Linked DNA regions of Rhinolophus ferrumequinum. The protein of the gene in region 2 interacts with the protein of the main gene of each other region in a pairwise test. Links are inferred from orthologs where the notes say so. Each region holds a gene or a part of one and is shown on either strand. Other genes may lie near its edges.

Region 1 (7,850 bases), on a different chromosome or scaffold from region 2:
CCCAATGACCGTAAGTGTCACAGGTTACTTCAGTACCGGCCCCTCACCCCACACCTCCTACTCTCCCTTCTCTATTACCTTAGGCACTTCCCATCCCCTCAGGCTCAGACTACATTCTCATTCTCGCTCTTAGATGTTTTTCCAACTAATCCTTCCTTAGGTAGCTTTAAAAGTGATTCACAAACTTTTAATAATACAGTATCCTTAAGGGTTAGGTACGATCTTCCTCCTGGGTGTCTAGAAGGTCTAATTAAAAAAACTCCTATCTTTGAAGCACTGTGTGCATCACAAAAATTTATTCAAAGCCTGTATTTTACTGTAATATATTTGCCTAAGTATTAAAATGTTTTAATTTCACTACCACTTCAATTAGCTTTTTGTCAAAAAATTTCCAGAAAAACTTATCTATCTTGATGCTTCTTTTGCCTCCGACACAGCTACAAGTTGGAGTTTAAATACTCAGTGTAAAAAATTACATACATCATGATTTTCTTTATATAAAGTAAAATAAAAAATACTTTTAAGGAATACATTTTTTAAATGCCATAAAACTATACAAAAACAAATGGAAAGAAATAAACCCAGGATTCAGAATAATCATTTGCTTGGGTGGGGAGAATAGGACAAACAGGGCAAGAACATGTAGTTCGATATGTTATTACTAACATCCTGGCTTTTATTTTAGGTAATAATCTTAGAGATGCTTATTACTAAAATTTAAGGAAACTACTATTGCAATAAAATAAAAACTAAGTAACTACATAAATGAAGGCAGATAAGAGTAAATAAAGTACTATGAATTATTATGAATCCAATGAGGAAAGAAAAAATGTATTTTTAAGTTTTTAAAAGCTTGGTTTAGGGAATATGAGCTTTTGGTTTGGCCTTCCTCCACTCTTACCCCCCAAGGATATTTAAAATATTTTTAAAGGGCGAGAAATATTTTGACAGAATTTATTCTCATTCCACTTTTATCCCTAACCTCCCAAATTAGATGCACAGAACTAAAAAGAGAATGAATTACACTGAAATACTTATTTTAAAAAACAAATTTGTGATATAATATTTGTGCTTCTTTAATACATTAAATAACAATATTTACAGGCAGGTCTAATTATGGCAACTTCAAAGTAGTGATTAATGTAAACAGTATTTCAAACTATCAAAACAACGACTATATGAAATTATCCTTCCTCACTCCCCCCACAATGATCTTAAAATTGAGAAGGATTTTATAATTGTCCCTAAGACTTAATTCTGCAGGATCACTCATTCACTACCAATTCACTTGCAATCTTTCCTGGTCCCCACTTTATTCACTCATCTAATCATTCATTCAATCAATACTACAAAGAACAAACAGTGATATAAATACGAATTATTGGATCAGCTCTCAAGGAGCTTGCAATCTAGTCTAGGCACATACACTAATAAATACAATAAAAGAGAGATGATACCAAAGGTACATGCAAATTGTTTGATATAAGGCAGGGAGGGCTGCACAGCACATATAAATTGACAGCCCTTTGATGGGCACAAAGGTTGGTAAGAAGGACACTCCTACAAAAAGCAGGGAGGCTGAAAATAGAACAGCAGCCTGTTCAGAGAGTCCCTGGCAGCTAACTGTACAAGGCCAGAGACAGACTACAAAGGAATGTGATAAGAGACGAAGCTGCAAAGACAGGGCCTAAAAAAGCCAACTCAGAAGTCAGGATTTTAGCCTCTTTGGGAGCTCAGTCCTCCTCTTTCAAAAAGGCCGCCACACACAACTAAAAAACATCCTGTAACAAAGGAATTCTTCATTTTTTGTGTGTGCCATGGACTTTTCTGGCAGACTGCTGAAGCTTACTGATCTGTTCTCCAAATTTTTTTATATACATAAAATACACAGGATTCCAAATAATTTTTATAGACATTCTGAAACTCTTACGGTAGTGAAGCCTAAGCGTAGCTGCGCATGTGCCTTTCTTCTGGAGAGCACAGTAAGGAAGGAGTAAGAAAAGAGTAACTTTACATGGAGAAACCTGACGAACATTACACTTCAGCCAGGCGATCAAGGTTAACAACACTGATGTCACAGTGATAGTTTACACTTTGACAGGTGATGAAAACGGCACTTGAACTCTCTCGTCTTCCTTGCAAAAACACATCTAACTATAAGAAAAACATCAGACAAATCCCAACTGGAGGTCATTCCACAAAATATCTGACTAGAACTCTTCAAAATGGTTGGGGTTATCAAAAAAAAAGCAAACTCTGAGGAATGTCACAATCAAGGGGACCAAAGGAAGCATGTCTACTAAAGGCAATCTGGTGTCCTGGATAAGATCCTGGCAAAGAAAAGGAACACTGGGGAAAACTGAGGAAATCTGAATAAAGTATGGGTTTTGGTTAAAATAATCTATTACCATAGGTGTAACTGTTGTAACAAATGTACCATACTAATGCAGGATATTAACAATAGGGGAAACCAGGTGCAGGGTATACAGGAACCCTCTGCACTGTATTTGTAATAATTCTGTAAATTTAGGGTTGTTCCAAAATAAATTTTTTTAAAAAATTAAGATGCACAGAACTAGAAAGAAAATGAATTACACTGAAATACTTATTTTAAAAAACAAATTTGAGATGTAATATTTGGGCTTCTTTAACACAATAAATAATATTTACAGGCAGGTTTAATTATGGTAGTTTCAAACTAGTGATTAAAGTAAACAGTATTTCAAGCTATCTGCAACAACTGTAACATATTAAATTATCTGAAATTGCTACAGTGACAGTCAAATGTGCTACTAACACTTCTGCAGTTTGTGGTGCATAGTCAAAACTGAAGAAATGCTAAATCTCATTTAAAGGTTACTAAAGATGTAATTGTTTTCCTATCCAAGTTCAAAGACCATTGAACTCTACCCATGGACTGCAGGTTAAGAATCATCTTCTAAAGGCAAATAAAAACTAAATACTAACACTAAATGGACACTGTGTTGCAGGACCTCTGATAGTCACTACACATAATTCATCTCATTAAACCCTCACAACAAACCCAGTCCACAGACAAGGCAGCTTAGGGAAGTTGTACATGATCATGTGACCAAAAATTCAAATTCTATAGCTTGATGCAAAATGGAGTCTGACAAAGCACCTCTAAAAACAATTTCCAGCCCCTAGTTGTGGAATTTTGAGGAACACTACTGATTATACTGTAGTTCACCAATGCTCCTACTAAACAACTTTCTGTTTAGGCTAAATCAGGCTGAAACTGAAGTACGTATAACACTTCCTAGAGCTCTACTTGTACTAATAAACAGCAGCAGCTAACCAAAAGGAAAAAGGTAAACACAGAAGCTCCCCACCCTTGTACAAATCTAAAAAGTATATTTTTGTCTCCATTTACCAACTCTGACACACCCAGTTCATTAGTATCCTTCTAAGGTGTGTGTATGCGCGCACGCGCACATGCACACCTATGTAGGTTTTTAAAGCAAATATAGCAACATGTGAGATATCCATAGCATATTTTATTGAGTCTATGGCAGTTTCTTAGTTTATCCAACTGAGTATTACTAATTCTATTTTCTTAGAACTAGAGGTGCTGATACAATGATCTATTTTCAAATGAATGTGTAACTGGCAGACACTTAAAGCAGACTTTCTAAAAATAGTAAAAGTTTTCAATAATTCATTTATCTCCATCAAAATTTCTTAGTTTATGTATGCTACTCTATGAAATCTATATCCAAATTATGATTTCCACCCCCACAACATGCCATTCTATCAGTGAACTGTAACTAAACAGATCCGGATTTGAATCCTCAGTCTCTCTCTTAGCAGATGTGTCATCTTTGACAAATTACTGTAAACCATTTTATGCTTGCATTTCAAGCCTAGGTTTTATATTTCAGTCATCATTGGCAATTGATGATAATAAAAGATTCTTATTATGTAAGGAATGAAACAAAGAATGCTTGTAGAGCACTGAGCAAATGTCAAACATTATTCATGAAATATTTTTAATTTTGAGTTTTACTTTTAAGTTGTAAATTTTCCGTTAGCAATGTTCACAGAGGGTCATCACTGAAATATTTTTTCTGTTAGTTGTAGCTGATTCTTTAAATAATGAGAGATTTGCTCTAGAGAATGATTTTATCTTTCTTTGGAAGAAGCCAAAATCATCTCCATTTAAGGGCACATCAGCAGCTGCTGCACAACACATTTTAGTTACCCATAAGAAAGTGAAGCAGGCTGAGTTCATGTCTAATTATTGTCTTGCTAGAAGCTAACATTATGAAGCTGCAATGTCAAAGCACCTGCAGCAAGAGCAACTCAATACAACTTGTTTGGCTTAAACCAGTATTCTCATTCTATGAAAGTTCCTATTACTGTAACTATTTTAGTTCTTCAACATTATCACCATGAGAATACAATCATTTCTAAGCCCAAAGATGCACAAGTATTTAAAAAGAGCTTTCTACCACCCCAAACAGTTTTTTCATCTCTCTCATATACTTTTAAAAGTTAAAAATGAGGCACAAAGTGTTAATGACCTTTCCAAACCTAAAGTGAGATAAATGACATTCTAAAAAGTTTGGGTGTGGTAAGACTATGGCTAACCAATCACATCTGCAGAATTCCTCTGTGACATCATGAGACCTCCCTAGAACACTTTTTCTCCTCTCCCAACTTCAATTGTTCCCATAAATCTGGTAACAGAGAAAACTTTCCAGCTAAACGCCGATAAAGACTTCATACCACTCACAACACTCTATACATTGTGATCGTCACAACAGCTAAGGTAAGAAATAGATTTCACTGATTTGGGAAATTCTTAGTTTCTGTAATTCAAACTTACTGAACTCTTTAAAAAGAATTAATCATATATTGTAAATTATAGCTCAAAGTTAGACAATAAAATGTCTGATATGACAAAAAGCTTAATTTCTAAATAAATGCTTATAATTCAGTGACTAAGAATAAGACTTAGCTTTGAAATGAAAAGGGTTGCATTCATCTTTGATCTTGGTTATTGGTTTTTTCATTTTAATTTTCACGTTCATTTTGCTTTTCAAAGTGAATTTCTGCCAATTAAAATACCTTTCAAATTTGGTTGGTGATAGTGGTGATTTGATTTCTTCAGGCAAAAACAATGGCTTCATTTTGTTATTTGTTATTCTGCTGAGAAACAGGGTGGGCTGTCTACATCTGGAATACTATGAACAGTCCTGTGATTGTACAACATGCACATCATTGGCATAACTTTTCCAATATTATTATTATGATTCCTTACAGGGAATATTAACAAAGTAGAATTGAAGAATATATAATCAAAACTATTTAAAATGCTTTTGAAGACTTTTTTCCTTTCTATAAAGTCCAGTCAACTTTAACAAACACTGCTAAAAAGAAATCCAAGCTTTTAATAAATTGAGTTACTTACATTAATTTCAATACCATATCATAAATAACAAGTTTGAAAATTCCAAAACACTTGTCAAGAACACATGCAAAATTCTTTCTAAATGCACAGAATACAATGTGGCACTTTAAAAATAGATCTTATTTTAGCAGCACAAACATTCCTAAATATCCCATTTGAATGAATTTGATAAAATGAGTGTATATTCTACCTAGCAATGAAAATACTAAGTTACAATCTTCAGTTTCCTCTCTCACATTTAGAAGGGGGGGGGGAGGAAAAAAGAAAAATAACTTCTGGTTGAATTCTACTCTACTTTTTATGTTATAAATCTCAATTTACTATATGAAATGTGTCTTCATTCTTAAATCTCATAGTATAAAGAATATTACATCGATTTTATTTCATTCTTTTCATTTTCATATATATAGGTCAAAATAAAATTCATCTCTAAAATTCTGAATTCCTATGACAAATGTTAACTCTACTGCTAGTTATAGAAAGAACTCTGTAATTCCACAAGCAGCTTTCCTTAAGGCATGCAAAAACATTCCTGGTTTTTGCCTACCAATGAGGCACCCTCACTGCCTCTCAATATCTTTACATTCATAAAATGTTTTTCCTTTGATATTACAGGGAAGTCACTCAGTGTAGGTAGGTGTCTTATATGCATATTTATTTATTTTTACTCATATACCTATCAAATTACATTCTCACATTTCAACTGTTTGTGAGTCTTTATAGTACCAGACTATCACCACATCACCTATTGCTCCAAAAAATTGACAATATCTAGAAAGAGCAGAAATTCTATTAAAGATATCCTTAGATAATGTGTCCAGAAAAACAAAAATTAGTTACGGTGACTGTTGTTCAAATTTCAAACATTGTGTTAGTGTCAGATATTTTGTACCAACAAGTTCATCTCAAACACAGGGTGAAATTTAAGTATTGTCTTTGTTTATAAAGACGTGTGGTTTAAAATTAAGTGCTAAAAAGGAGTGTCAGATGAAATAAAATGGAAGAAATGTGCAAGATGTTTAAATTATGAAAACTGATTAAATTTTAAAGACACGTGAAAGAGCTAGAGTACCTTGCTTTATTAAAAGAAGTCACATCACTAGCATTTCCTAAGACTCAAATATCAAAAATTATTTTAATAGTATTTTAGTAGACATAAAGAAAAGTAATATTCCAGAAAAAAATTGCATTTGGTTACATACTTATCCATACTGTTTCTTAATTTCACTAATTAGAGATAGAAGAATACTGGTATAGATAAAACAGTTCAAAGAAAGAATGAAAATTTTAATTTACTAAATGTATTAAGCAATATTATTAATTATGTAATAAATTATGTAACATATTAAAATTTTAAGTAAAACTTAAATGTAAAGATTAGATTACCTCTCTAAGCAAGGCTGTTTATTTATTAACAATCCTAGAAATATAAAGTCAATTGAAACTGCTTTCTTTTTCCTTGAACAATTTTCTAAATGCACTAGTGTATATAAAAACTTCACTTGATCCTTTTAGCTCCCGATATGTTTGACACCACATCTCTGTTTTACAATTTAGAAAACAGATGTGAAAACGGTGAGTTGCCCAAGGTCACAGATGGGAAATGGTGGAACCTTGGCAGGGGCCAAGATTTTCTGACTCTAAACCACATGTACATCCCACCCACGGGTCAACATGGCTTAAAAATAAAACATGACATTGGCAAAGCAAAATAAATTGAAAGTCCTCAAATACTGTTAATGGTACTCTAAAAGGCAAAGTTAGAGGACACAAACTTCTATTTTATTTAGAACCTCTCCATTTCATTTCAAGTTAATTTATGTATAAGGCATTATGTCCTTAATAGCCTATGAGTATACTACTATCCTGTTTATTTTCAAAGCCAGGGATGTAAGCATGTTATAGATGATCTTAGTTATTAAGTAATACACCCTGGAAGGTAAAACTGAAAACAATTACCAAGACTTTAAAAAAATAACATGATCAATCAATCAAATTAAAGTTCCTTTTTAATGTGTTTCACTGTTAAACTACTCAATGCTTTTCATCTATTTAGCCTTGATTACCTAAAATCCAGGTTAATTTCTCCTCAAAACTTTTCACAAAGCCACATTTTCACACTTCATTCCAGTATTATATTAAATCTTTTGGCTTTCCTCAATTTCCTTTCTCACCTCCTCACATTCTACCATTTAAAATATTCAACCCCATATGTTCTGAAATGCTTGAACAGAGGAATCTTGTTTTTATGCGGTGGAAATCACTAACCTTCATCTCAACTGTGAATTAACAGTGCTGATCATACCAGCCAAGGAGCAAACCTAAAGGTTAGAAATCTGGGAAATAATCCTTCTAAATTACAGTGACCTAAATCAGAAAATATGTACTCTCTTTGAACATTTCTAGAAATAGTACA
Region 2 (8,366 bases):
TGTGCTGGGATCATGTCTCGTGAAACTGAGGAATGGAAGCACGGACCAAGGAGAGACGAGGAGTTGTAAAAGAGGATAGTTCATTAAGAGTAAAGAGTAAAGAGTTGCAGCTCTCAGAACAAGAGAGAGTCCCGACCGGGTTGCCCAACATGGGGCAAAGGCTCTGGTTTTTATACCTTCCCTTGCCTGCTTGGAGAAGAGGGCTGGCACCTTCTAATGGAATTCCTCTATCAGGTTTGTCCTGTTTGCCCACCCCAAAGGGATTAACAATCCATCCTTATCTGTTAGATCCTAAAGGGATTAACGAACCCATTCCTATCTATCAGATCTGCTCCTTTGTCTGGCCAAAAGGGATTTATGAGATAATTTATTAACCTCAAGGTGCATTCTCATATCTTTGTCCTGGAGTGAAGGAGCCATTCTAGAACCAGGAGTTTCAGGATATGGCTGCCTTTTGTTTATCCCACCAGGGACCTCCCTGTCTACCTAACAACATGCTAACTAACCAGTCTCAATAGGCTTCTCTCATCTTGTAAGCTTTTGCATTAATAACTTCATTCTTCACCATCCCAGAGACAGAATTCCAGGATTATGCCTCTCTCTAGCATCCCTAGGTCAGGAGGAGGTGATATTCACTCATTTGGATTACAGTCCGTCCTCCCATTTATTTTTACAATATTCTGCAAATAATGGGTTGGTGAGTGGGAGCAGCTATCTAATGCCACATGTCTAATCATTTATGAAATTAATGTTTGGAACAGATGTAACACAGTCCAGATCACTACACTTTTGTTTTTTTGGAAAACAGTGTGCTGATTTTTATGATTTATTTATTGAAATTTTGAGACATTAAAAATACAGAAAAGTACTGTGGATGAAAACAAAGGTGTTCTTTGGAAGAAACCTCAAAGGGTGATCTATCTGATCATAACTTTCTAACTGAGCAGGTCATGGTGGGTAGTCACGCCCTAGGCATATAACTTCTTTGGTAAAGGCTCATCTTTGCCTTCAGCAAGGCCTGTCCATTGTTTCTGTGCATCCAAGTTAACACACCTTAGAAAGAAACCATAACCACCCCCAATAAAGCAAATAAACTTGCTAACTATCCTGCAATCCAGTTCACACCTTTCTCCCACCATCATGTAATCTTACTTTCCCTCCTTATTTTCAAATGCATAAAAGAAGCTGCAAAACTTTCATTTTCCAGAGCATTTGATATCTTGCTCTCCACCATGTCAGTTTGGCTCACATAAACTTATAAAAATTCTCTACAGGTTTGGATGTTTCTTACATCAACAGTACAAAGAATAATTCAAATAGTAATTATGTACCACCACCCCAAGTTGACAATTAGTATTTGTCCCATTTGCCTAAAGCCTTCATTTTTTTTTTTTTTTTTTTTAAGATTTTCTTGGGGAAGGGGAACAGGACTTTACTGGGGAACAGTGTATTTCCAGGGCTTTATTGGGGAACAGTGTGTTTTTTCCAGGACCTATCAGCTCCAAGTCAAGTTTGTCCTTTCAATCTTAGTTGCAGAGGGTACAGCTCAGCTCCAAGTCCAGTTGCTGTTTTCAATCTAGTTGCGGAGGGCGCAGCTCACTGGCCCATGTGGGAATCGAACTGGCAACCCTGTTGTTCAGAGTTCTAAACAACTGAGCTATCCAGCAGCCTCAGCCTTCATTTTTAAAATAACAGAAATAGTGTTACAGACATAGTTAACATCCCCTTTTGTGCATGTTTCCCCTCCCTCATGTTAATGCTCTTGACAAATAGTTCTGCAGTATTTTGCTGATTCACCAAGGAACAGGCCAGGTCTTGTCGGATAAGAACGTGGTAAGCTTCACAGGTACAGTCTCTGGAGTGAAAAAGATATTGTTAGTATGTACAAAGATTAGTTGGTAGTTTTCCAAATCCGCCTGTGTTAGCTTAGGTCTTATGGAGAAGCTTTATTAAAACAGTTTTTCAGGTAAATTCCAAAATCCCACTCCTCGATAAGCCTATTTACTTATGGCTTCACCAAAGCACCAAAAGCACTGACCTATATTCAGGTCAGCTTAGTCACAAAGAGATGGTTTACTAGCTCTTTGTCTCACCTGCTCCCAAGCTGAGGATTCAGTCTGGAGAGAGAGAGAGAGAGAGAGAGAGAGAGAGAGAGAGAGAGAGAGAGAGAGAGAGAGAGAGAGACAGAGAGAGAGAGAGACAGAGAGAGAGACAGAGAGACACAGGAGGTTGATAGGTCAGCCGATAAAGGAGCCTGCACGGTCAGGCAAGTTAAGAAAGTTTATTGTAAGAGAGCAAAGTCTATGGGGCCGTGCAAAGAAGGCTATAGCCCTTGAGGAAGGAGGTGAAGGGGGTTATATAGGGGGCGGTGCTCACAGGGTAGCATTGTTTGAACAGAAAAGGTTGACTGCTTGCCAGGCAACTGCCTGTAGCTGTTTTGAGGCGTTTTCTGTTATGGCAAGTTTGGCTCTGTCTGCAGGCGCAGGCCAACAGATATTTTGTTTTCTTGCAGACATGGCTCTCTGAGACCTAACATTCAGAGACCTAACAGAGATGAAAGTAAATCATCTCTCTTTGAAAGTTGAGGAATTAATTTTAAAGAGAAAAAACAAATGGTAGCAGAAAGTAGTGAAATTCTAACTTAGGCACATGCACTTTTTGCCACTTTCCAACCAAGATTCCTCATAGCAGAAAGAGTGAAAACCTAGATGGCATCTAGTCACCCCCGAATTTATAATCCTCTAGTGGCTTCTATTTGCTTGTGAACACCTTACACCATTGTCCGTGTGAGCGCTGCCTGGCTCGACCTGGCCCTGCCTGCTTGTCTGAGCTCATCACCCCTCTTCCCTTGCTCTCCACCTCAGAGCAAGGCTTCTTTTTCACCTCAGAGCAAGCCACCTCAGAGTAACTGGCTTCTTTTCAGTTCCTGGAAAACACCAAACGTTTTGCCTGAGAAGTTCTATTCTCCCTTAGTTTGTTTTTCATTGTTTAGGTCTCAACTTAAAATATCCCCTTCTTGGAGAGAGCTTTTCATAAACACCTTTTCACCTTATTTTCTATTCCAGCCCCTTTTTTATTTACTTTAGGATATGCCACAATTAAATTTTTTTTCTTTTAATTTCTAGGTTTTTGTCTGGTTTTCCAATGATAATGTCAGCTTCACTGGGACCATGTCTGACCTACACTCATCCAGCACACTGCCTACTACATAGGAAGCGTTCAATAAATGAGGAATGAGAATGAATAAAATGAGTAGAGTCTAGAGGTTAGAATTTATAATCACATCTGGCTGTAGGCTAGAACTCTGTATCACTCATAAGATCTGTCAAAACAAAACCGCATACACTGCTGTGATGAAAGTAAAATAATTTCTGTAAAAGACTATATTACTTTACACCATCTGCTGAAAAGACTATCCCCTTTTTCCGTTGAATTGCCTCGACACCTTTGTCAAAAATCAATTGACCATTCTGGAATTGCTATTCTGTTTCATTAACCTACATACTATCCTTATAGTACACATTTAAAAAGTAAAATAAAAAAGGGAAAAAAGCAAACCCTAAAACTGAAAGCAATCTGAAAGAAATGAACCTAACCGTTTATCAAATTAGTAACATAATTACACAGATTTATTTCATGTGACTTTTTGGGGACAAATTTACATACAATGAACTGCACAGACCTAAAAAGTACAATTAGATGAGTTCTGATGTCTGTGTGATCACCACCCCAATCAAGATACAGAATATTCCCATCATGCTAGAAAGTTCCTTTCTTGTCAATCCCACATCCCCTGCCCCAGGCAATAGTGTGCAGATTTCTATAACCATTAATTAATTTTGCTTATTTCTGAAATTTATATAAACAGAATCACACAGCATGTACATTTTTGTGTCTGGCTTCTTTCCCTCAACACAGTGTTTTTGAGATTACTTTGTATGCCACATATCAATGATTCATTTTTGCTTTATGCTGTGTAATTTCCATTGTATGAGTATACTTCAAAAAGTCAATGTTATTTAAAATAAGACTAGGAGACTAATAAAAATGTAACACCAAATGCAATGCATGACCCCTTTTTTAAACTATAAAAGCCATTAGGACAATCGCGAACATTTAAATATGGACTGGTTATTAGGTACTGCTAGGGAGTTCCTGACGGCCTTCTTAGCCCACTCAGCCTATTCTCGGCAAACCTCTATTAATGCACCGCCATTTTCTCAGTCACACAGGCTTAAAGCCTCTTATGAGGCCAGCTCTAGCCTTCTTTTCAATTCCCATGCACTCTCATACTAGTTCAGGTTCTGTTTTCTTTATTGAGCTATAACTCACATATCATACAATTCACCTATTTAAAGTGTAAAATTAAATGGTTTCAAGTATATTCACAGAGCTGTGTAACCATCACCCCCAAAAGAAACCCTGTACCCATCAGCAGTCACTCCTCATCAGGCTTTTATCATTCCTGATCTGCCTCCTTGCAACAGCATTCTAACTCATCTTCAACGCTCTCCTTCCAACTTATCTCATGTACACACTGACAATTGGATTTCCCTAAAGCGTGGTTAAAGATACTAGGCCCTCTCAACTAGTTACCTTCAGTGATTGCCACAAAGGACGCTTGGGTTCAAGTAAATAAACATCCATTAGCAAATTCTATTCCAGGCCCAGCGCTGGGCGCTACGAACACAATGGATTACCACTGAAGATTCCTTTTATTTCCACAGTGCTTCTGCTCAAGCAGGGCCCTCCACCTAGAATGACCTCTCTACTCCCAACCCCCAGAAATCTTTTCTGACAAGTGGTTGCCAACTCTGCAGCTCTCCTGACATTCTTGACAGTTCTCGAACACGGTCGATTACACACTGAAAGCGCAATACTTGTTTGTTTAATACAGCCGTAGAACATATTCTGTGGATACGGAACATAGTTCTTGGAAGCAGCAATGCTTCTTGTGGGCATCGCCAGCTCCTCTCCCCTCGTCAGTATCCCACCTCCCTTCCATCAGCCCTCAATGACCTCCACCAACCCCAGGAATCACATTTGAGCGACTCCTGGGAAAAGAGGGATCGGAGAGGTCGACTCTCCTGGGTCACACCTGCACGAAGACACCTCCAAAACTGCAAGGTCCGTACTTCCGCTGGGGAAAACGAGCCGCCCCTTCCGGCGCCCCACGGCGCCCCGGCCCGCCCCGCGCCGGCGGTGACGGAAGCACGCCGGGGGTGACCTCACCCTCCAACATGGCGGCGGCGGTAGATTAGGGTCGCCGGTCGCAGCAGGCACCGCCGCTGGGGGACCCTGTCGGAAACAGCTGCCGCCGCCGCCGCCGCCTCTTTCATCTCTTCTGGGGCAGGGGCCAGGGCCAGGTGAGGGAAGTGGGGTTCCGGGCAGGCAGAGCTGGTCCTCACTCAGCTCCTCAGGCGGTTTTTCACTGGGTAGGGAGGTGTCCAGAGACTGTGCCGAACCACCGGCCCCTCAGTGGTTCCGGCGACGCGCGAGTGAGTGTCCGTGTCTGACCGTGAGTGAATGAGTGTGCATGTGTACTGGCGCTTCTTCGCCCGAGGGTTCTAGAAGCTTAAAGGGCCCATTTCACCGTAGCTGGACCTGTCCAGCAAGGTCCCGTCGCGAACGCTTGTGGAGCGGGGCTTCCTGCGTGGGCTGCGGGAGGCGAAGGATCCCGGCTCCGGCTCTGCACCGCGGTTCTTCCCCACCGATACCCTCACACCGAAAACCCGGCTCCATTTTTAGAACCAGGCTGGGGAACGTGGGCTTCTTTTTGGTCGAGGAAAAGGTTTTCTTGCGATTCGTTTAGAATTATAGATTAGCTCTGCCCATCCTAGTCGTTTCTTCTTAACAGTGTTAGAAATTGTTTATGCTTTCTTCACTGCTGTTCTGACACCCATTATCATTTTTTCAGAAAAACCCTCCATACCCTTGGATGCAATAGTTTACACTGTGTTGTTTCTTACTTTGATTTCTATCTTCTCACCATTCCAAGGAGATCCCAAGTTTCTTTTCTTTAATAACTGACTGAAGGAAAACTAGACTCTTGAGTTGAGGCTTTAACGGGGTTGGAAATCGGACGGAACTGGCCAGCTCTTCACAGGCTCCTGACTGCTAGCTTTGTTTAGCTCTTAAGCACTCCCCGCACAAGTGTGTGTTTTTCCAAAATAGCTATCTCATCGTCTCTATTTAGAAGTAAACTGACAGTCCCTCCTTAACCCCCACTTCAATGACATAAAGCAACCAACAGAAAGTCTTTGCGAAATTTTTAGTAAGAGTGCCCCTGGGAGTTTGGTGTAAACCAGAATGTTGATCTCTGCTCTGACTTGTGTGACCTTGGATAGTTTGCCACACCCTTCTGATACCTTCTTCTTTCCTCCCAGAAAATTAAGCAAGTGTTTGTGTAAGTAGTGAACTATTTATACCTCATACACACAGTTGGATAAATATACACTGCACATTTGCACCTGCAAATTGAAAATATTTACACCGTTATGAAATATTCTTCATTTGATGATAGGCCATTAAGGATTTTGAAAATCCTTTTACTCTCAGTAAATACCATCTAAGTATTTTTTTTTTTAATGACTCATTTTCTCATGGAGAACTCTACCTCAGTAGTTGAATTCAGTTGGAGGATATGTAAGGTTGAGTTCATCCTGTTTTGTAAAGAAAAAATGTGATCACTAGCACACCGGTTAGTCAATATTTACTAAATATCTTTTTTTTTTTTTTTTAAGATTTTATTGGAGAAGGGAAGCAGGACTTCATTGGGGAACAGTGTGTATTTTCCAGGACTATCAGGGAAGTGTGTTTTTCCCAGGACCCATCAGCTCCAAGTCAAGTTGTCCTTTCAATCTTAGTTGTGGAGGGCACAGCTCAGCTCTAAGTCCAGTTGCCCTTGTTCAATCTTAGTTGCAGGGGGCGCAGTCCACCGGCCCTTGCGGGGGTCGAACCAGCAACCTTGTGGTTAAGAGCATGCACTCCAACAAACTGAGCCATCTGGCTGCCCTAAATATCTTAAATAAGAAGTTGTTAGGACAAGTGATTTGCAACTATAATAATCATTGTTTAAAAAGATATTTCTTATGAAATATTTTCAATGTACGAAACAGAAGTTTTAAACAATTAGTACTGCCATCCTGCTTTTTATGACTGTTTTCCAAACATGATTTTGGTTCATATCTTATTCCAAATATATGGTCACCAAGAATTCTTAAGTAATACATATTACAGAGTTGAAGGGAGCTGGACTCTTTTAAACAGCTTTATTGAGATATAATTCTCGCATACTGGTACAACTCACCAATTGCACAATTGAATGGTTTTTAGTATATTCACTGAGTGTATAACCATCACCACAATTTTCAGCACCCCAAAAAGAAATCTGGTACCCATTAGGAGTCATTATTTCCACTCTCCCCCACCTTCCCTACCTGGGCAACCACCGTTTTGCTTTCTGTCTGTAGATTTGCTGATTCTGGATATTTCATATAAGTGGAATTATGTAATATTTGGACTTTGTGACTGGCTTCTTTTACTTAGCATAATGTTTTCAGGGTTCAGCCATGTTATGGCATATGTCAGAACCTCATTCCTTTTTATGGCCTGATATTCCGTTGTATGAATATATCACATTTTTATTTATCAGTTGATGGGCAGATATTTCCACTATTTGGCTGTTTTATATATAATGCTGCTATGACTATTCCTGTGCAGGTTTTTATATAGGCATGTGTTTTTATTTCTCTCTGGCGTATATACTTAGGAGTGTAACAGTAACTGAATTTTATGTCTTCCTTTTACACAAGCTATCTACACATATGGGAATCCTAACTTACTGTGAAAGTCAGACTGTGTTTGTATGTCTGTGGGGAGAGAGTGAGAGTAAGGCTTTCCTCCATAAGTATATTATTATCTGGGAGTGCCAACTGCTGAGTGAAAACATTTTTGGGCAGATCTTAACACAAGATTGAACTGGAGTGTTTCAATTAGACATGTTGCAGTTGGAAAGGGATAGCCTACATTAGAATACTTAGGTTTTGCTGAGTTTTAAAAATGACACGTTGCCCAGTTGCATTTCTCAGCTGGATGGGGTGAATTTTTGCAATTTTACAGTTTTTATTAGGATTATTTAATTTTACCTATTTTCTTTTGGAAAAAGTCTTAGAATTCTGTAGGAGCTAGTAAAGCATGGATTAAGAAAATAGAGTTATTGGATTCATGTTAATTTCTGGAACTTTTAAAAAAATTCCCTACTCAAACCACCAGTGAGTCTTGGTACTAGAGATCTGGTAACCGAAAAACTTTGTAAGGGGTGGCTGGTTCGCATAGTTGGTTAGAGCATGGTGCTGATAACACCA

The links. The genes of interacting proteins can lie anywhere in the genome.
Region 1: the proteins of BCL2L13 (region 2) and PLN interact in binary tests that used the Homo sapiens proteins (3 or more experiments, as listed by UniProt). The two-hybrid records come from large-scale screens. The link is inferred for Rhinolophus ferrumequinum from reciprocal best matches to the Homo sapiens genes BCL2L13 and PLN.

Annotation. Positions count from the first base shown.
Region 1 is NC_046286.1:68,961,700-68,969,549, forward strand, and holds the start of PLN (cardiac phospholamban), read left to right. Parts: upstream 1-4,678; 5' UTR 4,679-4,792; intron 4,793-7,850. UniProt on the Homo sapiens protein: Reversibly inhibits the activity of ATP2A2/SERCA2 in cardiac sarcoplasmic reticulum by decreasing the apparent affinity of the ATPase for Ca(2+).
Region 2 is NC_046293.1:91,127,459-91,135,824, forward strand, and holds the start of BCL2L13 (bcl-2-like protein 13), read left to right. Parts: upstream 1-5,201; 5' UTR 5,202-5,366; intron 5,367-8,366. UniProt on the Homo sapiens protein: May promote the activation of caspase-3 and apoptosis.